4 linked regions of the Arabidopsis thaliana genome follow. The protein of the gene in region 2 binds, or shares a complex with, the protein of the main gene of each other region. Each region holds a gene or a part of one and is shown on either strand. Other genes may lie near its edges.

Evidence for each region.
Region 1: NdhM (region 2) and PnsB4 share a complex: the UniProt entries of both Arabidopsis thaliana proteins name them as parts of the chloroplast NDH complex.
Region 3: NdhM (region 2) and NdhT share a complex: the UniProt entries of both Arabidopsis thaliana proteins name them as parts of the chloroplast NDH complex.
Region 4: NdhM (region 2) and NdhS share a complex: the UniProt entries of both Arabidopsis thaliana proteins name them as parts of the chloroplast NDH complex.

What each region holds. Positions count from the first base shown.
Region 1 is NC_003070.9:6,457,800-6,463,816, reverse strand, and holds PnsB4 (NDH dependent flow 6), read right to left. Parts: upstream 3,415-6,017; 5' UTR 3,193-3,414; coding exon 3,127-3,192; intron 3,051-3,126; coding exon 3,009-3,050; intron 2,974-3,008; exon of another isoform or gene 2,922-2,973; coding exon 2,744-2,921; intron 2,644-2,743; coding exon 2,588-2,643; intron 2,500-2,587; coding exon 2,428-2,499; coding exon of another isoform or gene 2,353-2,427; exon of another isoform or gene 1,974-2,352; coding exon of another isoform or gene 1,968-1,973; exon of another isoform or gene 1,824-1,967; coding exon 1,710-1,823; 3' UTR 1,473-1,709; downstream 1-1,472. Other genes in the region: AT1G18720 (ER membrane protein, putative (DUF962)), read left to right, coding at 4,159-4,521, 5,304-5,366, 5,474-5,545, 5,675-5,797. UniProt on the Arabidopsis thaliana protein: NDH shuttles electrons from NAD(P)H:plastoquinone, via FMN and iron-sulfur (Fe-S) centers, to quinones in the photosynthetic chain and possibly in a chloroplast respiratory chain.
Region 2 is NC_003075.7:17,828,807-17,834,030, forward strand, and holds NdhM (subunit NDH-M of NAD(P)H:plastoquinone dehydrogenase complex), read right to left. Parts: upstream 2,814-5,224; 5' UTR 2,680-2,813; coding exon 2,227-2,679; intron 2,143-2,226; coding exon 1,942-2,142; 3' UTR 1,727-1,941; downstream 1-1,726. Other genes in the region: AT4G37920 (endoribonuclease E-like protein), read right to left, coding at 45-232, 309-553, 629-794, 886-1,151, 1,328-1,511; SHM1 (serine transhydroxymethyltransferase 1), read right to left, coding at 3,085-3,233, 3,317-3,427, 3,509-3,620, 3,701-3,778, 3,861-3,926, 4,008-4,112, 4,200-4,397, 4,476-4,568 and 4 more. UniProt on the Arabidopsis thaliana protein: NDH shuttles electrons from NAD(P)H:plastoquinone, via FMN and iron-sulfur (Fe-S) centers, to quinones in the photosynthetic chain and possibly in a chloroplast respiratory chain.
Region 3 is NC_003075.7:5,928,925-5,934,344, forward strand, and holds NdhT (Chaperone DnaJ-domain superfamily protein), read right to left. Parts: upstream 3,552-5,420; 5' UTR 3,229-3,551; coding exon 2,903-3,228; intron 2,817-2,902; coding exon 2,393-2,816; 3' UTR 2,186-2,392; downstream 1-2,185. UniProt on the Arabidopsis thaliana protein: NDH shuttles electrons from NAD(P)H:plastoquinone, via FMN and iron-sulfur (Fe-S) centers, to quinones in the photosynthetic chain and possibly in a chloroplast respiratory chain.
Region 4 is NC_003075.7:12,419,156-12,424,169, reverse strand, and holds NdhS (NAD(P)H-quinone oxidoreductase subunit S), read left to right. Parts: upstream 1-2,705; 5' UTR 2,706-2,824; coding exon 2,825-3,577; 3' UTR 3,578-3,756; downstream 3,757-5,014. Other genes in the region: AT4G23895 (Pleckstrin homology (PH) domain-containing protein), read right to left, coding at 58-113, 210-364, 445-562, 647-710, 791-873, 969-1,074, 1,160-1,287; AT4G23885 (uncharacterized protein), read right to left, coding at 3,930-3,947, 4,132-4,277, 4,629-4,698. UniProt on the Arabidopsis thaliana protein: NDH shuttles electrons from NAD(P)H:plastoquinone, via FMN and iron-sulfur (Fe-S) centers, to quinones in the photosynthetic chain and possibly in a chloroplast respiratory chain.

The sequences.
Region 1 (6,017 bases), on a different chromosome or scaffold from region 2:
TTTATTTTCTCTTTTTGTTACTCGGTACAGTACACGCAGTGGACACGTCTAGTGGTAATAAAATAAAAGTACACAGATCTGTCTGTAATAAAATCTCAGTTTGAGGAAATTCATTGGTCACGGGGCTGTGGTATATGAAGTCGAGAATGAGACATTAATGGGTGCCACGTGGAGAAAATGGGAGCTGTGACAGAGACTTGGTCAATGCAATGCACATGTGGATAAAAAGCCAGCTAAGTCTTCGTTGGCGTGTATTGAAGAGAGAGATTGGTAAGTAAAGGGACTCGGTCCTGGTTGATTCTTTCTCGTCGTTCTAGAATGCTCAAGGACACAAAAATGTTGACATGTAATTTTGTCTATATCCTTTTTTTTTTTGGTTTAATGTTAAACTTTACACCAAATAAAAAAAAAGGTGTACATTGTACAATGAAAATCTCAAAAACACACCAAAAAAGGCTAATATAACATTTTATTAAAAGAGATAACTATGAGTTGTATCACAACTAATGAGGTGAATTGATAGAACCAAAGTAAAACTCAAGGAGAGAAATGCTGATAGTGATATCCTCCAGCGAGAAGGAGATGAGACGACTGCGTATAGTGCGTAACAAGAGACTCAGTAGCATGGATGGTACTAGATTCATTTGAGAAAATCGTTTTATTACGCTCATTATTAATCAGATAGATCGAGGTTTGAAGAAGGAGTTTCAAGATCTTACTTACAAAATGTGGAGGTGTGGATTGAACATTCAAGATCCACAAGGAGGCTGACGGAAACGAGATTGTCTATATAATCGTATGATAGTATAAATTTTGTGTTGAAATGTGTAATGGTGTTTTTTGGTAACCGAAAATTGAAATGTATTATTATGAAACTGTATAATGAAAAAAAATAATTATAATGGAATATGGTAAATATGTGTCATTAACAAGTCATCAATCATGTTTGGGCCAGAATTAAAATTGTACAACTATAAGAATTAATTGACACACGACAAAATACACTACATGCAGTGATGCAGATCTTTTTTTTGTTTAAATAAAAATGTTACATCATATCTCCTGTCATGTGTTCCTAACACACACACAAAAAAAAGAAATATCTGAAAATTAAACTTAAATTTGAAAAGAAAACAAAAACAATAAACCACACGTGTGGTTTACAATTACAAGCTCGAAGAGGCTTTGAAACATGGAAGCACGAAGGTTACTGACAAAGACATGACAAGCTCTCCTTCTTCACCTCTGCTAACTTATTTTTTGTTTTTAAAGATTGATTAGTTTTGGTTTTTGTCAGGTAGAATCGTGCAGAAGCGTATTTCCCGCTAATTGTTCCTCATCAGACTCACTTTCCAGTCTATACGACCAATTAATTTAGCCCCAATTGACTAAATTTTTTATACTTAAAAATAATAAATATTCACTCTGACCAACTTGCGACCGAAGAAATCAAGAAAAGCAAATTAAGATAGTTTACCAAACATAATTATTTATATTTTTAAGACATCGGATGTCGTCAACAATAAATTTCTGAAGGAGACAATTGCTCCTAACATGATCGTTCAATGATTCAGAACACAAGACAACAAAGAAGTACATAACATATATTATATATATGGAAGCTAGAGAGTATATATAATGTTGCATGACTGATATAAGAAAATATATAATGTGTATGTAAAGTGGTTTATGATTCACAAGTTAGTTTTCTACTTAGTAACAGCTTCTTCAAGCTCTCTTAAGCCACCAACCTTCTGTTCAATTTCTTCGATAAGTTCTTCACGCCATAGCTCCGCTCTTGCTTTCTCTTCTATGTCTTCTTGCTGCATCATATAACCCAAAACACAATAACAACTCTATCCAATCTTATAATAGTTGTACACATTGTGAATCTGTGATGATATACCAAAGGTCAATGGCCCGAGCAAGCCCAGCCCGACCCAACTTAGGATCAATGTTACCTACCATCAGATCTGTTAACGTTTGAATTATTATATCAAGCCCAACCCGGCTCAAACTTACTAAGCATGATTGATCTATCAATAGGATGGATCAATGTTACCTACCATCTATCAGATTGTGACTTTCGTTTAGATGATCAAGGTTGTGGATTCATATTTTTGGGTGCATATATACCAACGGTAAACGCTAACCTAAAAGCCACCTATTTTTCTTTGTTTAGGGAGGTTTATCGCATGCTGAGACACATGGAGGAGTACTCAAAACCGGCTCTGAACAGGTCTACATGGCCTACTAAGACCAAGGTGGGATAGTCTGAGGTCAAACTAGATCTGAACTGGTCCACAGGGTCTAGTAAGACCACAGCGGGTTGGTCGGTCCATTGCAACATCCCTAGTTATAATTTGTATGCATTTCTAAGTTTTTTTCTTTCTTTCCTAATAGTATTAGAAAGGGAGAGATACATACAGTTTCATAGACCCAATATCCAGTTCCATCCCCTCCATCTCCACGGTACTCCTCTGAGTCGTAGAATGGATCCTGTATTGATCCAATATCACAAAGTACTATTAAGATCCCAATGCAGCAAATGTATCAAAAGATTCAGTTTGAGTTGTTGTTTTCATACTTTTGCTGAACCGAAGTACAAACATCCCCAACAAGTGAACATGATGTAGAACATATCTGCCATATCAAGATCAATATCAAAACATAAGAAAAAGAAGAAAAAAAAGTCTAAGAAAGAAAATAAAATCTCTCAAGAAACCCCAAGTGTTTAACTTACAAACATTCTTGATAGCTTTATCACTTAGATGCCACACGTGTTTCTCTGTAATGATATCACGCATTCCTTCTATTTGTTGAACCATCACAGCCATTAATGGCAAATCATGTGGCAATGCCTTTCTTACACATAAGCTTCCTCTCATCAAATTCCTTTCCCTCTTCTCATTAACATTCTTCTAATTTTTCAAATTCTAAGACGTAAATTCACAAGAATATGGAGATTTTTTTTCTAATTTTAGTCTTAGTTAGAGAAAATTACTTACAGATAGCCAATATCCATGATTCGGTCCTGAATTCTGCTTCGGCTACAACACAATACACAATTCTTAAACTTTTTTTCGTAATGAAATATTTTTGGTAAGAATATAAAATAATATGTACCGAGTGATTGTAGGAAGAAGGAATATGAAGATTTGTGAAGGTGAAACTTGTGAAAGCTTCAGCCATTGTTACTTCTTGATGGTGGCAATGGAGAAGAAAAAAAAAAAATGTTGGTGTAATCTTTTTTATTTTTTCATTTATTTTAATCTTTAAGATTAGATTTTTTGAGGCAGAAAATGTGTGGATAAGGGAATTGGTATCGTCCACTCTTCACTTTTGTGATAAACAAAATAAAAAAATAACGTACGTTAGCAATCACATCGCATAACACTTTTTTTGTCTTTTAAAAGCCCAATTTAGACAATCACAGTACACATTTTAGCCTTCTAAAACGCTCAGGTTGGGAACAACTATTTGCCTTAAAGAGTGGTAAAGATATTTCCAGCAAAATTCAACTACAAACTTTCGTATTTTACCCGTCCAACAAACTTTCCATTCGCGCAGGTTAGCAATCACTAAACACGTTCACTCCTCTAGACGTGCAAGTTAGTAACCACACTAAAATTGCTAATAAATCTTTGGTTGGTGAAATTCAAACTTTCCGCTTATGTCTCTTCCCAAATACATCATTTGTTGAATAGCGTACGTTGGCAACTATTGCCAAACTTTTAATGATATTTCCATCTAATTCAACTTCCTATGCGCGCATGTTAGCAATCATCCCAAATACATCATTCGTTGAATAGTGTATGTTCTATTTGCCAAACTTTCAATGATGTATATCCATCTAAACCAGCTTTTATTCGCGCATGTTAGCAATCACAATAACACGTCTACTCTTCTTAGCGACTAGTATTTTGTCAAAAGTCGGAAGAAAATCTCCGGCCAAGTCAACTTCTATCGCTTTAAAAAGCGCATGTTAGCTATTAAAAAGCGCACGTTAGCATCATTTTCGGGAAATTGCTAATCAAACTTTCCACTTTCGTCTTCTTCCCGTGTATATCTTTAATCTCCTCTGTTTGGTGACTATTATCCAATTTCCACCGATCTTCTCCTCATAAAAACACCTCTTCCTCAACGAATTTTTTATCCATGAGTCGCATAATGGGATTGTTCGATCTCGAGAAACACTTCGCCTTCTACGGTGCTTACCATAGCAATCCGATCAACATTCTAATCCACATCATCTTCGTTTGGCCAATCTTCTTCTCAGTTTTACTTCTCCTCCACTCGTCGACCCCAATTTTCGACCCCTCTCAATTAGGGTTTTCTCAATCGTTGACCCTCGACGGCGTTTTGCGATTTAACGTTGGGTTTATATTCGCCTTGATTTATGCTCTGTTCTATATCGGTTTGGATAAGAAATCTGGATTTGTAGCTGCTCTTATGTGTTTCTCTTGCTGGGTTGGTTCCAGTTTTCTTGCTGTTCGACTAGGATCTTCTCTTGCCTTAAAGGTTAGATTTTTTTTCTCTAATTTCAATTTAGGGTTTTTGAAAAAACTTCATTTTTGGAGAAAATAATTGCGTAGAAGCATGTTTATGAGGGTATATGACTATGTGTATCCATGTGTTGCTCTATGTGTATATTTATATGATGTGAGTGTGGTTCATGCATTTATTGTTCATTGTTTTCTATGCTTTGACTTGAAAGTTCGTTTATATCATTGGTTATGCTCGGGGAAGAAGAAATAGATTTATTTATATCATTAGTCCTCTCTATCTGTTGTCTATGGGTCCCTTCATTAGCTGTTAACGTTGAGACAGCAGTACTAATATCATGTCTCTAGCTTTGAACATTCATGATTAGTAGTTATTGCAGTTTGTTCTGCAATTGTCCACCTTTGCACGGTTCTGATTCTTTGGTCCGGAGACTTGTCATGTTTTTAGTGTTGTTGACTCATTGGTTAAGAGGATTTGATGTGTGCTTGGACGGAAACAAGTGTTGTTCTTGACCACCAACATTTGGATGGTCTCAGATAATTAGAATCTACATCACTTGTTTAACTAAAGTTTGGTTTTTCTTCCATAGTATTTGAGACATCTGTAACTTAGGAGCTTTTTTATGTATCTTCTGTGTTGTGAATCATTTGATTAGTTTATATGTATCTTCAGTCTGAATCATTTGATTAGTTTGTTATATGTATTCAACAGCAAGGGGAAAACAGTTAATACTCACCAAGACGCCAACTCTCTCTGTTATGTAGATACTGTAACAATTTAATTGTCTTTTTACTCAGGTTGGGTTAGCATCTCAGCTGTTATGTTGGACCGGGCAGTTCGTTGGCCATGGAGTATTCGAGGTAAGTTCTCTGGCTTTTAGAAATCATTGTTTTGATTCTCCTTTGTGTCTTGTCATCCGTATACATGAGTCCTAACACATATGTTATTGATTCTTGTCTACTCACAGAAACGGGCACCTGCGCTGTTAGACAATTTACTCCAAGCTTTTCTCATGGCTCCTTTCTTCGTGTTGCTCGAGGTAAAAGTTGTTGGTGTTATGTTATGTTGTGATTTGTTTGTTATCTCCTGCTACCTTATTATACTGCTCTGTGGAAACTGTAACCAGAATACATGAAAAGCTAATGTGGAAATGTTTGAATGAATACAGGTTCTTCAATCGGTTTTCGGGTATGAACCATATCCCGGTTTTCAAGCGCGTGTGAATGCCAAGGTAGAAAGTGACATCAAGGAATATAGGGCAAAGAAGCAGAAGAAGAATAAGATCACATAAGCTTGGATTATATATAACTGAAGAACTTGAACCCATTGTCGTGTTTCTATAACCGAAATGATAATAAGACCACCATGATCCATGGATTGATGTATTTGTGTGTAAACTATGTTTCAATATATTGAATATAATATGTTTCAGTCACTCATGTTTCAAGAAAAATAAACAAAATGCGTTGCATGTATTACAATCACATATTCACAGGTCAATTGTTGTTCCG
Region 2 (5,224 bases):
GGTTAAAGATGAAACACTAAAGTGTGCATCTTTATGTTACTTACGTGTATAATGCTTTAGGGTCCTTAGCTTCGTGGTCATCACCAGGAGAGAATGCTGTAGCTAGGGCAGAGAATCGTTCTTCGGGGTCTGTTATGTTGAGTAAGTACTTTAAAAGTTTGATCTCTTTCGGTGTGATGCTTCTAAGACTGCTCTTTGTAGCTTTGTATAAATGATACATTATGTCTTTAGCCTGTTCAAAAAATACGATATCGATTTGAGAAGATTGTGAAGAATATTAAAGAAGATTGTAATCCAATGGCTATTACCTCGTTCGTAACAGTTTGAGACTCTTTTGCAGCAGCGTATGCACTGTTGATCAATAAGATCAATGAGGAATCAAGCTCCTTTGCCTTGGCTAAACTTCTGATCTTTTCGCAAGCAGAATCCACGGATGGAGAGTTTAAAATATCTTCAAACTTTGCTTGAGCAGTATCTAGAGTCTCAACACTCTCCAACGTGTTGTCATAAGCACTCACAGCAGATAAACATCTAGTTGCAAGCCTCGCAACAGCTGCTCAAAAATAACAAAACAATCATGAAACTGTGGGAATCAATAAGTAAGCAACATGATTAATGTTTTAAGTACCATCTCGGTCTTCCAAGCCATCAAGAGTTTCTGATAACAAAGTAACATAGCGGAAAAACTCTCCCGTAAAGTCTCTGCGTCTCTTGGCAGCGATTGCGTTTATGTCTGTTGGGTTTTCTTGAATCTCCTTCAAAAGGTCATTGTGTTTCTCCATTTCCTTATCTATCTGCAACAATACTCACTCCTATAAGTACACAACAACAACAATAAACTAACCTGAGTTCACTAATAAACACAAAATACAACACTATAAATACCTTCTTGACTTTACTTTCCAAAGATACCAGTTTCTGCTTCAATATAGGATCAGTTTCGGTATCAGCTCGGATTCTGCAACGCTTATAGAAATTAACACTGTACTTGTTCCATTCATCTCTTAAAACCAAATACGTCTTCCATTGTTTAACTTTAGGTTTCTCATTCAAGAAGAGATCAATAATCTTGTCACAAAACTGAGCCATAGTGTAACCTTCAGCAACCTCAACTTCCATTGGATCCTCAACAGAGCTTTTTACTTCCGCACCTAAACACAAAATTTCTATCTTCAATAAAAAAAGCTTCTCTAACTAGACGAATCCTAGTCTATGAAAAGGGTTTAGCTTATCTAATGGTGACAATTAATACAAATTGGAATCTAAAGAAATAGAATTTATTGGTAATTAGACAGAAAGATTAGAGATTTAGGGTTTATGAGCTTACTTGTAGTGCCATTGTAAGTGACAGTGTCGGTAGCAAAGGTGATAGTTGAGCTTTTGCGTATCTTTCTTCCTCCATTGATGAAAGCAGAGAAAGGGAGATGATGGGTTTGAGAATTCTTAGGCGGGAAAGACAGTAATTTATCAGCAGAGGAGAAAAAGATTGATGTTTCCAGTAAATTCGCCATTTTTTCTCCCTCACAAAGTTCGTCTTGGTGACGAACAACGAGAAACACCAGAGGATAAGAAGAACAGGGTTTTAATTGTAAATAATTAGTAAACGTTGACAAATTCAAAAACTTAATATAACTTTTTGGGTAAAAATGTTAAAACTAACAAGTTTTGCATCAGTTTGAAATCTTTTTAAAAAGAGGCAAGGAGTAAGGAACATGAATGAGCAAGACCAGAATTGAGTTTCTTTGACATTACATATTCACATGACCTTAAGACCTTACATTAACAAGAAAAGACAAAGAAACTTAAGATTGATTATTACAAAAATAATTATAGCATATGTCATGATATATACATATGTTACTTTGTGATAGACAAAATTAAAAAGCATACTACAATATATTTATATTCCCATTACATGATTATAAAATAGAGTTTGTTTCACTAAGCGTCCTCTTGAGGCTGACCATCTCCACCACCTTCAATGTTACTGGTATTGAATTGTACACGAGGCTTTCCCATACTGAAATTAAGAACTCTTGCATCCATATTGTATTGTATTTCTCCATCGAACAACATCTTCCTTATGTAATGTTCTACGTCCGATCCTATCAATCTCAATGTGTACTCCGTTAATGGTGCTCCCTGTTCAAAAACAATATTATAAGGTCTTCTTGAAATGAGTCTAACTTTTAGATGAATGTTTCGTTCGTTTATTGTTATCGTTACCTCGTAGTGATCGACGAGTTCTTGGAAATAAGAATAGACCTTGTTACAGCTTTCATCATCCCACACAAATTCTTCAGTAGGATCAAGAATCAAAGTGAGTTTATCCATTTGTGACTGGTCAAACTCACAAGTCTCTGGATCAATATAAGCAGCGTAGATCCTAACGTGACGTGTGACACTGCTTAGCCACTGACCACCAAAATCGCCCATACCCTTGCTCTTCACGTTCAGCTGTTTCTCCACTGGTCTCAATGGTGTTGGCTGCTTCTTCATCTTCTCTGTTGATTGCTCTTCTTTGAGTGTCTCTGTTTCTTGTACTTCAAGAGTACTGTCTTGTTCCGGATTTGTCACCACGAACGCCTTTTGTGTTGTTCTTGGTCGGATTTGAGCAACCATAGAAGGATGTAATAGAGAAAGCTTGGTGCAGGCAGTGTAAGAGAATGCTGCAACCATTTTTCTGTCTAAGAAATGAAAAAAAAAAAACAGAACAAGTTTTGAGATGTTGTCCGGTTACAGAACCATATTCTTGTAAAGAGATTTGATGAGGTTGAGAAATGACCACAGCTTGTGGATGAGCCTCTCCCAACTTCTAGTTTCTTATTTATCCCTTTCTCGTTTTGTTGGTATTTTGTGGTTACTCTTAAGTCACTTGTGAGCTAAAGACAATCTTCTTTAGGGAATTCACTGTTTTGTTGTATGTGTTTTTTTTGTCTAAGTATATTTCTTTTTGATGTATAGAGAGAAAATTTAACAGATCATTATTTTTCGCATAGCGTGAAAATAGAGTTTTACATGTATCATCTATACATTCCATGGGAATTCAAAGCATAACAGAAAACACTTGTGGGGTGAAACAGTTTAGTTCTTGTACTTCATGGTTTCTTTCTCAAACCCAATTGTTGGGAACTGCTTAGCGAATTCCTCGACTTCATGGCGCAGTTTCGCAATCTCGGATTGGATGGTTGAAGAGGATTCCATTGCTGACACGAAATCCTTCAACTTGGTTCCTGGTTTTAGAAACATAACAAATGAGTTCAATCATTGTATATAAGAACGGAAAGCATAGCATCGTGATCAGAGAAGTAAAAACCTTGAGCTTCAGATTTGACTTTGAGAGCTATTGTCACAGCTTTGTCGAAGTATTCAGCTACTTTGGCAAAGTCTTCCTCAACAAAGCCTCTGGAAGTGAGAGCAGGAGTACCTGAAAATAACAATGGCAGAGGATATCAAGAAGAACTCCATTCGAATACCAAAAAGAAAAATGGTTAAATGTGATTTTTACCCATTCTGATTCCACCAGGAACCATGGCAGAAACATCTCCAGGAACAGTGTTTTTGTTGGATGCAATGTGAACAGCTTCCAACACTTTCTCAACTCTAGATCCATCAATTCCCTGCAAACAAAATCGAATAAAAAATGAGTTTTAACTAAGAAATATAAAAGAAGATTATATACAAAAAAAGATCAAGTGACCTTGGGCTTTAGATTCACTAGAACCAGATGGTTGTCAGTTCCACCAGAAACAAGTTCATATCCTCTCTCCATTAGAGTCTGCACGAAACAACAATGTAGAGATATAATCAAAGTAGATACTACGCCATATGTGTTTTTCTTTCCTTCACGGGATTAGTACCTGAGCAAACTTTGCACTGTTACTCAGGACTTGTTCTTGGTATGCTTTGTACTCTGAAGTAGTTGCCTGCATTTTCAAACCATTTGAAGGTTACAGAAACCGCAAATCCAATAAGCAACGTTAGTTCCATTCCGTGCCTCACCGTACCTGTTTCAAAGCAACAGCTAGTCCTGTGATAGTGTGGTTGTGTGGACCACCTTGAAGACCAGGGAAGACAGCTTGGTTGATCTTGTCTTCAAAATCATACAAAACCTTTCAAGACAACAAATGAATGACGTGAAAGATTATACATAAATCTAAAACATTTTGGTTCAAATTTTGCTTCTTTTTCTTTTTTACCTCTTTCCCTTGCTTGTTAATTTCCTTAACACCCTTTCTGAAGAAAATCATGGCTCCACGGGGTCCACGAAGTGACTTGTGAGTTGTGGTGGTTACAACATCAGCATAGTCGAACGGTGAAGGGATTACATTAGCAGCAACCAAACCACTGATGTGTGCCATATCTGCTAGCATTACAGCTTTTTGCTTGTTACAGACCTGGGAAAAGAGTTCGAATCAAAACTCACTACTGATTACAATAATCTGTTCTGTAGTTGGATATGAGACTGAAATTACCTTTCTGATGCGGGCATAGTCATACAATCTAGCATAAGCACTTGCACCAGCAACAATCAATTTTGGCCTGAAAAGAGTAGCACTTTTCTCCATCTGCAAATCAAAATTAAAGACTTATGTATTGTTATGAAGCGGGTTAGTTATAAGTTACTATGATTGCTTAATAGAAGAGTTAAGAACCTGATCGTAGTCGATGTAGCCAGTGCTCTCGTCCAATCTATAGGGCATTGTTTCAAAGAAGATAGACACAGCTGATATCTTCTTGGTGTCAGTCTGATGAGAAATAAGAAGAAAGAAACTGTTATTCATCAGAGTCAGAGAGTTCCGAAATGACATACAAAGTTAACTTGAAGGCACCTGATAACCATGAGAAAGATGACCACCATGAGGAAGATCAAGTGCCATGATTCTTTCATGAGGCTTTAACAATGCAGTGTACACATGGAAGTTGGCAGGAGATCCAGACAAAGGTTGAACATTCACTGTAAGATCCAGTCAAATAAGCCATCAAAGGACTAATCAGATTTCTTGTTTCTCATATACATGAAAGTAGTAATTTACCTCCCCACTTTTCAGGATCTAACCGGAAAGCTTCAAGAGCGCGCTTCTGGCATAAGGTTTCTGCCATGTCTATATACCTACAAAGCAAAAGGTACTTGAGATTTCAATTCTTATTACAGAGATTGGTCAAGCAATCATGTCCTGAAACTAAATGTGTCAGATTGAAAATTCCTGAACATACTCATTTC
Region 3 (5,420 bases), about 12 Mb from region 2:
GCAGTCATTTTCCTTTTTTATCAGATAACATTTACTTTATCGACTCTACTTTCTTCATACACCATCAACAAATGTAATATGTAAACATTTTTTTACCCTGCTAATTCGTATATTATCATGATATTTTCAAAATTATCGATAATCCAAAGTTATCAGCGACATCTTCTTTCCTGTTTTCAAAACCATGGTAAAAGTTTTGTTATCGACTGTTTTTTTCAAAAAAATGATAAGGAGCTATATATATATATATATATATATATATAGGTACACACCTAAGACTTAAATGCTTTGTGTCTCTTTCTTATAGGTACAATATATCTCGCGGAAGAAGGCTACTGATTCTTTGTTTGTATAGGGGCAATTATGTCATATTTAATTTACAAGAAAATTTCCACCTAAATAACTAAATGATATGTGTAGATCCTTAATTATATATTCTTCCATGTATAGATATTTCATTCACCCTTTTGTTTATCATTCATAAACTATAATCCGCAGTAGTGCGAATTAAAAAAAAAAAAAGTTTGCGGTGTACTAACTACAGATAACTTTTACGTAGAATTTTTTTTATCCGCATGCGATTTATCGTCCGCTCTAAAAATAAAGTGGTTTTGTCTGTTAGCGATTTAGTGTGCTTTTTTCATTGCATCCATTGAAACCAAAATAGAATACAATAGACTAAGGCCTTGAATGTTTTGTAGATTTTGTAAGAGTTTTTAGATTTTGTTTTTCAAAAACTTATTTTTATACCAATCAAGATTATAAAATTTTGGTTTCCCTACAATTTAGAAAAACTATTTTGTTGTAGTTTTTGATTCATGATTTTAATTTTATAGTTTTCCTAAAACTTAGGGAATCTAGTTTTTACTCCATCAACGTTATTTTTCTCAAAAACTAAAAACCAATTTTTTGGGGTTTTTAAAACAAAAATATAATAACAAAAATCTAAAACTAAAATCTAAAATCTAGAAACTAAAATCTAAATCCAAAAACTGAATCGAAAATCAGCATCCATTCAGGGTCTAAACCAAAAATAAATCATCGAATCATAAATAATTTTTAGTTTTGATGGATTTTTGAGAAAAAAAATATTTAAAAATATTATTAATCTTGAATTTTACAAAAGAAACTTGAAGTCTAAAAATATTATTAATCTTGTAAGGACTGTCAAATGCTTTTAAAGTCTTAACAGTCCAATGTCAATCACCCCCTAAATAAATACTAGTGGTCATAGAAGTAGGAACCACTTTCCCCTATCTCCATTTTTGTATGAATCCATGATTCCATATTCACGTCCATGTTGTATACCCTATTTAAGTATAAAAATAAGAAGATAATCACATAATTTTTCTACCAAAAGACTATTGTTCTTATCAATTTCCATATCCTTGTTTTTCATTTTGTATCAGAACAAAAATTCGTACAATGACTACGAATAACAAGGACACACTTGATCAACTTAAAGTAAGCTTTGACGACGTCCAAGAGAAGCTCGTGAAGATGCATGTAGAAGTAGAAGTCAATGAGAAATTTGCTCACATTGAAGCCTCGCTAAAACAGTTCATTGAGACAATGACAACACAAGCCATGTTCCAAATCAAAATGTGATCGACGACATTTAGTACTTAACCGTTGACGTCTCAATTTGGGTTTCCAGTGAAAGGCTTATAGTGCTTAGTGTGCAGACAATTTTGGCTTCTTCACGTGCTATCACCCTTCATTTACTCAAACTAGTCTGAAAGAACAACAAAATCCTTTATCACTTCATCTAGTTCTATTAGCTTATGTGCGTTTGTTATGCGGATGGACTGAAGTTTGCTTGATAAATTATGCTTCATGTTTTTCTTTTGTCATGGGACCATTTATAGTCTTTTGATTATACTCTTAAACTGTTTTCATTTTTAGTGAAATATTTACATCTTAGGAAAAAAAGAAAAAAAAACGTAGTCAAAATGTGCATCGAACAGTTCTAAGGAACACGTCTAAGGAGGATTGAGTCAGGTGCTACATATATATAAGACTTGATAAAAGGGTATTGTTGCAAAAGGTAGTGAAAAAAGGGTAGTTTTGCAAATCTCCCTAGTTTTTATTCCTACTATACTTCCCAAACTAGTGAATTCCGCATTAGTTATCAAAACTACTATTTTGTTCGCTTTGTTTTATATAAATGAGACTATTTGGATTAGCTAGGTAAGCATAACAAAATATAGCTCTAAAACAATGTTTGGATAGCTTAGAAAAAATCCAAAAATAACACACACACAAAAAAGGTGAGGAACAGAACCACTAGACCACTTTATTTTAGTTCAAATGATCTTATAATCTGTAATTGTTAATCTTCCATCTACATATAAACTATATGAATTTTCCAAGTATATACAAAGCTCCTTACCTAGTAAGAAGGATCTTTGAAAACAATCACAAAAGCTATACAACAAACAGCGAATAATACGATCAAAATATCGAACGTGAGAGCAGTCATTGCTTGATCACTAAGCTCCATGTTTCTTCCACCTAACCGGTCAACCATATCAGGTATTGATTCATAGCCCCTAAAATCTTGCTCTTTCGGATCCTCTAGCTTCATTCTCATTTTCTCAGCTTGACGACTCGCAACTTCTTGAGCCAGTGTCCAGTCATAAAACCTCCGAGTCTCTTCATCGCTCAAAACATTGTACACTTCTCTTAATTTCATGAACTTTTCTGAAGCTGTTTTAAGTGGTAGTGAAGTTGTATCTGGATGATACTCTTTAGATAATCTCCGGTACGCAGATTTTATCTCTTCTAGATCAGCATCCGTTGAAACACCTAAGAATCTGAAAATGATTATTGTTACATGTTACAATACATATTGAAAAATAAAAATAAAAAGATATGTAATGAGAATGTTTGTTTTGCTCACTGGTAATGAGAATCAAAAGAGTCTTTGATTAGTTCTGCAAATTTTTCGTCACTAAGGAGATTGGTTTTGTCCTCATCAACCGATTTGGCCGGGTCGGATCTTCCTCCGATCCAGCCTTCGTCCGGGCTTTCCCAGTGGATTCTTGTGTCTACTCCTGGAGATGGTTTTGACGGTTTAGTCGGGCCTTGTGACGCGTATATACGCGTCACTCTTCTTGCTGTTATCCTTCTAAATGCTTTCGTGTCATCCGTGAAATGCGCGCCGTTTTGGATTTTGGGTAGGATAATGCATGAGGTTCGTGCATAGGTAGAAGTTGCATAAGCCATGGCTCTGTGTTGAAGATGGTTTGTTCTTTTTTTTTCTGCCCTTCATGTTTTTGGTTTCTCTTACCGCAGAAACTTGTTCCAGAACCTCATGATATGTGTGGTGTAGATTTTCTTTATATCTTTTGTTGTCCTATCTAGTGTCCATAGGAACAAAAAATTTAAATAATTAAATGTCAACAAAAAAAAAGTATGAAACGTAAAGATATAAGAGACAAAACGTTGAGAAGAGAGGGGCAATGAGAGGAAGAAATAATGTAGAGATAAATGATTTCTTTCTTTGGAAGCGATGTCTAAATATGTTATGCAACAAATGTGTGCGTTTGTAATATATATAGGGTAAAAATAGACAATTGTATCATAATTAGGATATGACCCGCGATATACCGTAAATTAAATTTATTTATTTATTTTTCTTTATCACAAAATATAATTTGTTGTTTGTTGTTGTTTGTGATGATTAATAATTATCGATAAGGTTGTGTATGTTTTTTATTGAGTCACAATTATGATATTAATAAGTCTAATATATGTTATTTTATCTTTTAGGATTTGACTTGTGATAGACCATACCACGGGATAATATTTTATTTTATTCATAATTTGTTATAAAAAAATTATTTAATATAAACTTTTGGTGTTTTCAAATTTAATCCATGGAACATATGTAGTTTAGTAACTTTATATTAAAATTACACATTTAAATGTATCAAAGAAGAATAACATTTAGAGGTGTCAAAGAAGATTAACACTTATACTAAAATGTTGATTTTATTTATTTTTTTGTAACTAAAAATTTGAAATTAAAATTGTATTTGTTATGTTATTATTGTTTGTTTTGTTTACTATTGTATAGTTGTAATTTGATTGTTAATTCTAGGAGTACACCCGTGGTATCCAAATTTTTCCCATCTAAACTCATAGCACCATATAATCTCGTCTCATCCAAACCCGTCCTACCATGTAAACTCGTCTCCTGTAAACCCGTCCCGCCATATAAATCCGTCCCGTGATAACTAAAAATCAAATTGTTCTTTTTCTTTTTAATAATATTTTTATTTAATATACTTCGAGTCGGTTTACAATTTCAATTTAAAAAGAAAAATTGTATAATATATTGAAATTTTAACAATTTCAATCTAATAAGAATCAATATCGGATCGTTTCGAAGATTTTATATCGAATTCTTTGAACAAAAAATAACACAATTTCTTGTTAAATATTTTGTATCTTTTAAATTAATGTATTTCCTATTTGTATATTTTATATTCAATATATTTGGTTTTGATATAAATTAGAAAATCCGTTTAAATAATTATTAAAATTTGAATCCCGAAGATATTTATGTGATTTTTTATAATTTAAAGATTGTTGTTGAGATTTTTTAGTGTCTATTTTTTGTTGCATTTATTTGTTTGCAAGGTCTATCATAATTAAGGTGAAGTTACAAAAAGATCTGTAAAGTATAATATCGTTCACATATTGATTATAGAATTATTTAGATTATTTTTAAAAAGGAAAAAATTACAACATATGCCATATTTTTTCCAATCCTTATGCAATCTGCCATAATTTGCTGGGCCTTACAACTCATGTCATATTTCATACTGAAATATCGATTTTGTCCCTCTCCATTTCTTCTCTATTTTATCTCTCCTTCCTTGAAATCTGTGCGCTTTAACCATATATTATTATCTTCCCGAAGATGAAGCGCTTTTGTCACTCTCTCACTTTCTTTGACAACCTGCACAGATTCTTTACATGTAACTTTCAATTAAATTTGTCTCTCAATTTTATTCATCACAATATTTCTGTTGTATCTAGATCTTGTCCTTGATTTCATCATTTTTTACCATCTATTTTGGTCCACAGATTAGTTGAGCATTATTGTTTTCACCGACACGATTTTTTTTTCTTCTATTGTAAAACAACAAAAATATTCAGTTATTACATATTATCTTGTCTATCATTCGATCTGACTTTGTCCCCGATCCAATTCTATTACTCATTCGATATGAACTTGTCCCGATATAACATATTATTAAAATATGTTAACGTGTAGGTGAAGACAATAACGCTCAACTAATCTGTGGATCAAAATAGATCGCAAAAATTTAAATAAAATTCAAAATTATTAAATGAGAACAATTGCATATAAGATGTAGGATTCATAATAATAGAGCAAGATGGTGAAA
Region 4 (5,014 bases), 5.4 Mb from region 2:
CAGAGCAGTGACCGCTCTTCAATTTATTCTGGAGCTTCGACTGATCCATTTGATAACCTTTCTTCTGGTTCAGACTTGCAATCAAGGCGCAAAACCGACAACCACGAATCAACCTAAAACCATACAAAACCGCGAAATCATTGCGTTCAAATGCTGTGGGATCTCTCAACAACAATCTGTGTGTAAAGATGTATATGTATTTGGTTCACCTGTGTTTTAGAGGTGCTTGAGCACTCAAATCTTAGACCTTGACGGGTTAATATGTAAAAGCAATAATGGGTTTCATCGAATTCTCTCGTGTAGCTTGGTACCGAACCAATTTCAACAATATCTGCTAGCAATGTCGAATCTTGAGGGCTCAAGTCTGCAATAGAGAATTTCAAGAGACATTACAAGAAGAATACAAATTTGAAACAGGATTGTAAAAGCTGAACCTTAACTCACCTGTTGACAATAAATAGAAGAAAAGACAAGGGCCTTGAAGGACGACAAACCGAGGAAGCCAGTCGTCTACTTCTGTATCATCTATTGGTGGTGGTTCACCCGGAAGAGCTGCCCAACGCTAAAGTCAAACAAAAAAATAAGGCAAATTTGTAAAACATCCTAGTGGATCAATAATGATAAGTAATTCAGAGTAAGGCCCTACACTTCTGATAAACAAATAACCAGATAAACGGGCAGAGCGCAAGACTTCATCCACATGTTCCAACCTATGTAGCAGTTCAGCAAGAAGAAATTGAGATATGCGCTTTTAATCTGAGAATGGAACAAATTTGAGTATATGACTTACTGGGCTTTGAGGTAAGCTTCTCTTTCTTCCATATCAGAAAGTTCTGATCTAAGTGATTCTAACTCCGCTGCTGATAGCTCGACCTGCCAATGAGAGAGTGATCAGGATTCAGGAGAAAACCCTGAAACTTCAATGAGGTGAATCAAAAACAAAGAAGAAAGGTGTGAGAGAATGGAACCTTCTCTTGACCATCTGAAACCCAAGGCAGACGGCGAAGAGTGAACAAATTCAACATAGTTGCTGCTCTTTTCAGGTTTCTGCGAGTCCGTGACTGGCTATAAGGCCTACTCTAAACAAAACCACCCGAAAAAACAATTCATTTCAGCTCAGAATTTCCCTTCTTAGCATATTTATTCGCTAACAATTTACCTCAGAGAACTATCGTCCTTTGGCTGCGAAGATGATGGAGTATCGTGCTGAGAAGATTCTGCTGTGGGACTAGGAGCACTAAAGTGATCAGGTAATATGTTTAGCTTCTTAGGAGTACCATCATCCATGAATTGAAACGACTCCAGAACCTTCCACTAGAAAATGAATCAAAGCTTAGCCAGAGATGAAACTACTCTAAAACTCTCAGCTTGTAGTACATTGATTCCCCAAAAGAAGTCGAAAAAATCACATAGTTAAAAACTTTTTTGTCCATTCAAGAGATGTCATCTGAGCATGATCTAATCTAGATTCTGATATGAGACAAACTCCTATATGAACTTTAGCATTCCATGAACATTATTTAATCTCCCTAAATGACTTGTCTCTCAGTCTCTATCTTATGCTTATTCTTATCATAGATCTAATCCACAAGTATGTATGTATCATCACTTGGAGAGATATATAACTACTAAAAATCCTTATTCCTCACTGAGGATCAAACATACCTCTTTATATATCTTTCAACGCCGAATTTTACAATCCCACTTCACCAGAAATTTTGATATCCCTTGTGAGAAATCAGCTCGCTGTAAAAGAAAAACAAAGTTCAGCTTCTACAAAAAGAAAGAGGACGAAAATGAACTCTTTCTTTTTCCCATTCTAGATTTTATTAGCTCAAATTAAAAACAACAGAATCGAATTTTCTGGAAACCCTAACAAAATACAAAAACATTGAGCAGAAATAGAAGCTCGGAAGTCGGAATCGAATGACGGGAACCTCGAATAATTTGAAAAAATTGACTGAAGAGAAGATCGAGACCTTGTTTTTACCTGATCGAATGTGATCTCTGTATTCAAGGGAAAGTGTTTACGCAATTGGTTTTTTGGTTGAGTGCTTACTGCTTCAGCAGGAAGAAGATGTTGGGTTTGGGAATTTTACTCATAAAGAAACTTTAAATTTGGTACCAAAAAGACGCTTTTATCCCCCGGTTAGGTTGCGTCAGCCAGCTCTACCCACATGGGCATTGCTGCAGATATTACAAGTTTTGTAATTTGTTAACGAATGTTTGTAAACTTTTGACTAATCTTATCTACAATATAATGAATTTATCGAATCAATGTAAAAGTTGTTTTCATTCATGCTTAATACATTAATTGATCAAAGTTGCCAACTAAGTATTTGGTGATGCCGATGAGTGTAAAGGACAGCCTAAGACAAAAGTGTATGTCTAATTATGATTTGGGAGTATGGGATTCCAATTATTAATGTCGTTGACCCAAATGATTTATCTTCTTCTTGCTGCTTTTTTCTTAATAAACAAACAAATCCACATTATTAGCATTTAGCAATATGTTTAATTACATTACCATTGTTTTTAATCTAGGCCCATATCTCTTAAGAATATTCAAACTTGGTCCAGGTTAAACTTATGACAAAGCCCAAATGTTCCTACTCTTTCTCCTAAATCATTATTCCAAACACCGGTTACGCATTAACCGGTTCAGGTCCACTGGTAATTTGGAAATAGATAGAACTCATCTAACTGAAATCATGATATGTGGTCATTATAACAAGCGAATCAATCACACGCTTCTTCCTTCCTCTTCCATCTTCTTCATATCTCCCTTAGTCACCTCTACTCTACTCTGCAGGCAAAAATAGTTATGGCGACTTCTTCGATCACTATCCCGACCATTAGAACTCCGATTCATCGATCAAAATTTCTAGGCCAAACACATCAATTTTCAACTGTAAACCGGTCGGTTTTCCCGCCTCCAAAACAGCAGTCAAAACTGTATCAAGTAAAGGCCATGGGTAAATTCAATCTATGGGAAGTGATGGGAGGAAGAGGATTATGCAACGGAGAGAAAGGTATTGAGAAGGAGCTCCAGAGGAACATTGAAGACGAGCAAGAGACATCAAAGGCTGAGAACAACGAGACAGAGAGAGAGAGCGATGACAGTAACTTGTCTTTTAAAGTACCTGAAGATGGTTTCGAGAAAGAGATGATGGGTCTCACAGGAGGATTTCCCGGTGGCGAAAAGGGTTTAAAAACGTTTATCGAAAAAAATCCACCACCTCCTCCACCACCACCACCTGCAAAACAAGGAAGCGATGCATCCGCGGTTGCTACAGATAAGAAGCCGAAAGCGCCCAAGCTACCCCTTCTCATGCCGGGGATGATTGCTATAGTCAAGAACCAGAACAGTCCGTATCACATGTATTGTGGAATTGTGCAGAGGATCACTGATGGAAAAGCTGGTGTCTTGTTCGAAGGAGGAAACTGGGACCGTCTCATTACTTTCAGGCTTGAAGAGCTTGAACGAAGAGAAAAAGGTCCACCGGGTAAGAATCCAAAGTCTTGTATTCTCGAGCCTCTTATCGAACAGATGCAAAAGGAAGAGGCAGCACCATAAGTGATCTTCTCTTCTCTGTATGTAAGTTCCTGTGAATGTATATGTAACGTACCTTTGCGTTTTAGGCTACAATATTTCTGACTGGTTCTAAAAGAGCTTCATCATGTGATATAAAAAAAAGAATAAACGATGAATTTCAATCATAAAGCACTTAATAATAGAGATTCAAATGCACTCAATCAATGATGAATCAGTATAGAAGTTAAAAACTGCAATGGAGTAGTTTTATTGTTATCATTGGTTGTTGTAAACATCAACCATATCAGTTTCTTCTTGACTATCGAGTATATTCTGTAAATGGTAAAGATGAGAAGTGATCCACCATTCTTGTCAACAGATCATGTTGAAATGATCAGATGCAGCCTCCCAACTGTAAAAAAAATTCAGAAAAGGATAAGGAAGTTAGAAACAGAACAATATTATTAAATCATGAAAAGGGTTCTCTCAACTTGTAATTGGTCACATAATTATAACTTAGTAGTTGGTCACACATTATACTGTTAGATACATGTTCATCTAAGTGTTGTTATACATGTCAAAATGAAGTTACATACCAAAATGGCTTCCATTTCTTCGTTTGAAACTGGCGTGCGCTTTGGCTGCGATGATGCCTTCCCGCCAGTAGTCTTTTGGATGTTGTTCAAATTGGAGAAGAACAATGTATCAGCTTCATTTGCCACCTGACTCTTTCCCTCTGAAGCTGCAATGCCAGAAAGTAAATCGCATAACAAACAGATGATTACCCAAACCAAAAGCTAAAAAACATAAGAGCTTCTCTATAATGATTCGAGATTTGATAACAAACACGATTCGATTCAATGGCTAAACAAATCTGTGTATCCTTTGAATCTAACTATGTAAATGCAAATCAATCAGAGCGAAATAGATCGGAAAGCAAAAATTCACAGCCAAATGAATACAATCTCATATCTGATTCATGAAAATGAAACCGTACACAAAAAAAATTCGAATCAAGCGAGAAAAAGCCGAGCAAAATTGTGGAAAAAATAACATAGATTCTGTGTAGAGAGTTTCATGGATAATCGAAAACCTGAAGGATTAATATGTCTCTGAGGGAATTTGATGCGAGGAATCCTCTTCAAACCGTGAACTACGTTCATCTTCTTTTCGCTCTTTCGTTCTCGTCTGTGTACCAAAAGGAGAATGTTGACGACGGCGACTGGAAATTTTCTCTCTCTGTATTTTCCCGAACCTTCGGGTTTATTTTCAAAGTTTCTCCAAAAGTGGGCCATTTTTTGTGGTTAGGCCCAGATAAGTCTATATGACCCATTTAAAAGCCTCACAATGTTCGTTTCTCTGTTGGGACAAAAAAAATCCCTCTCAAGTCAAAACCATAAATAAAAATCAAACTAGGAATTTCTTTTTTGTTTTTGACTCAATCGTGTTTTTTGTTTGAGTGCCATTAATTGCCATAAT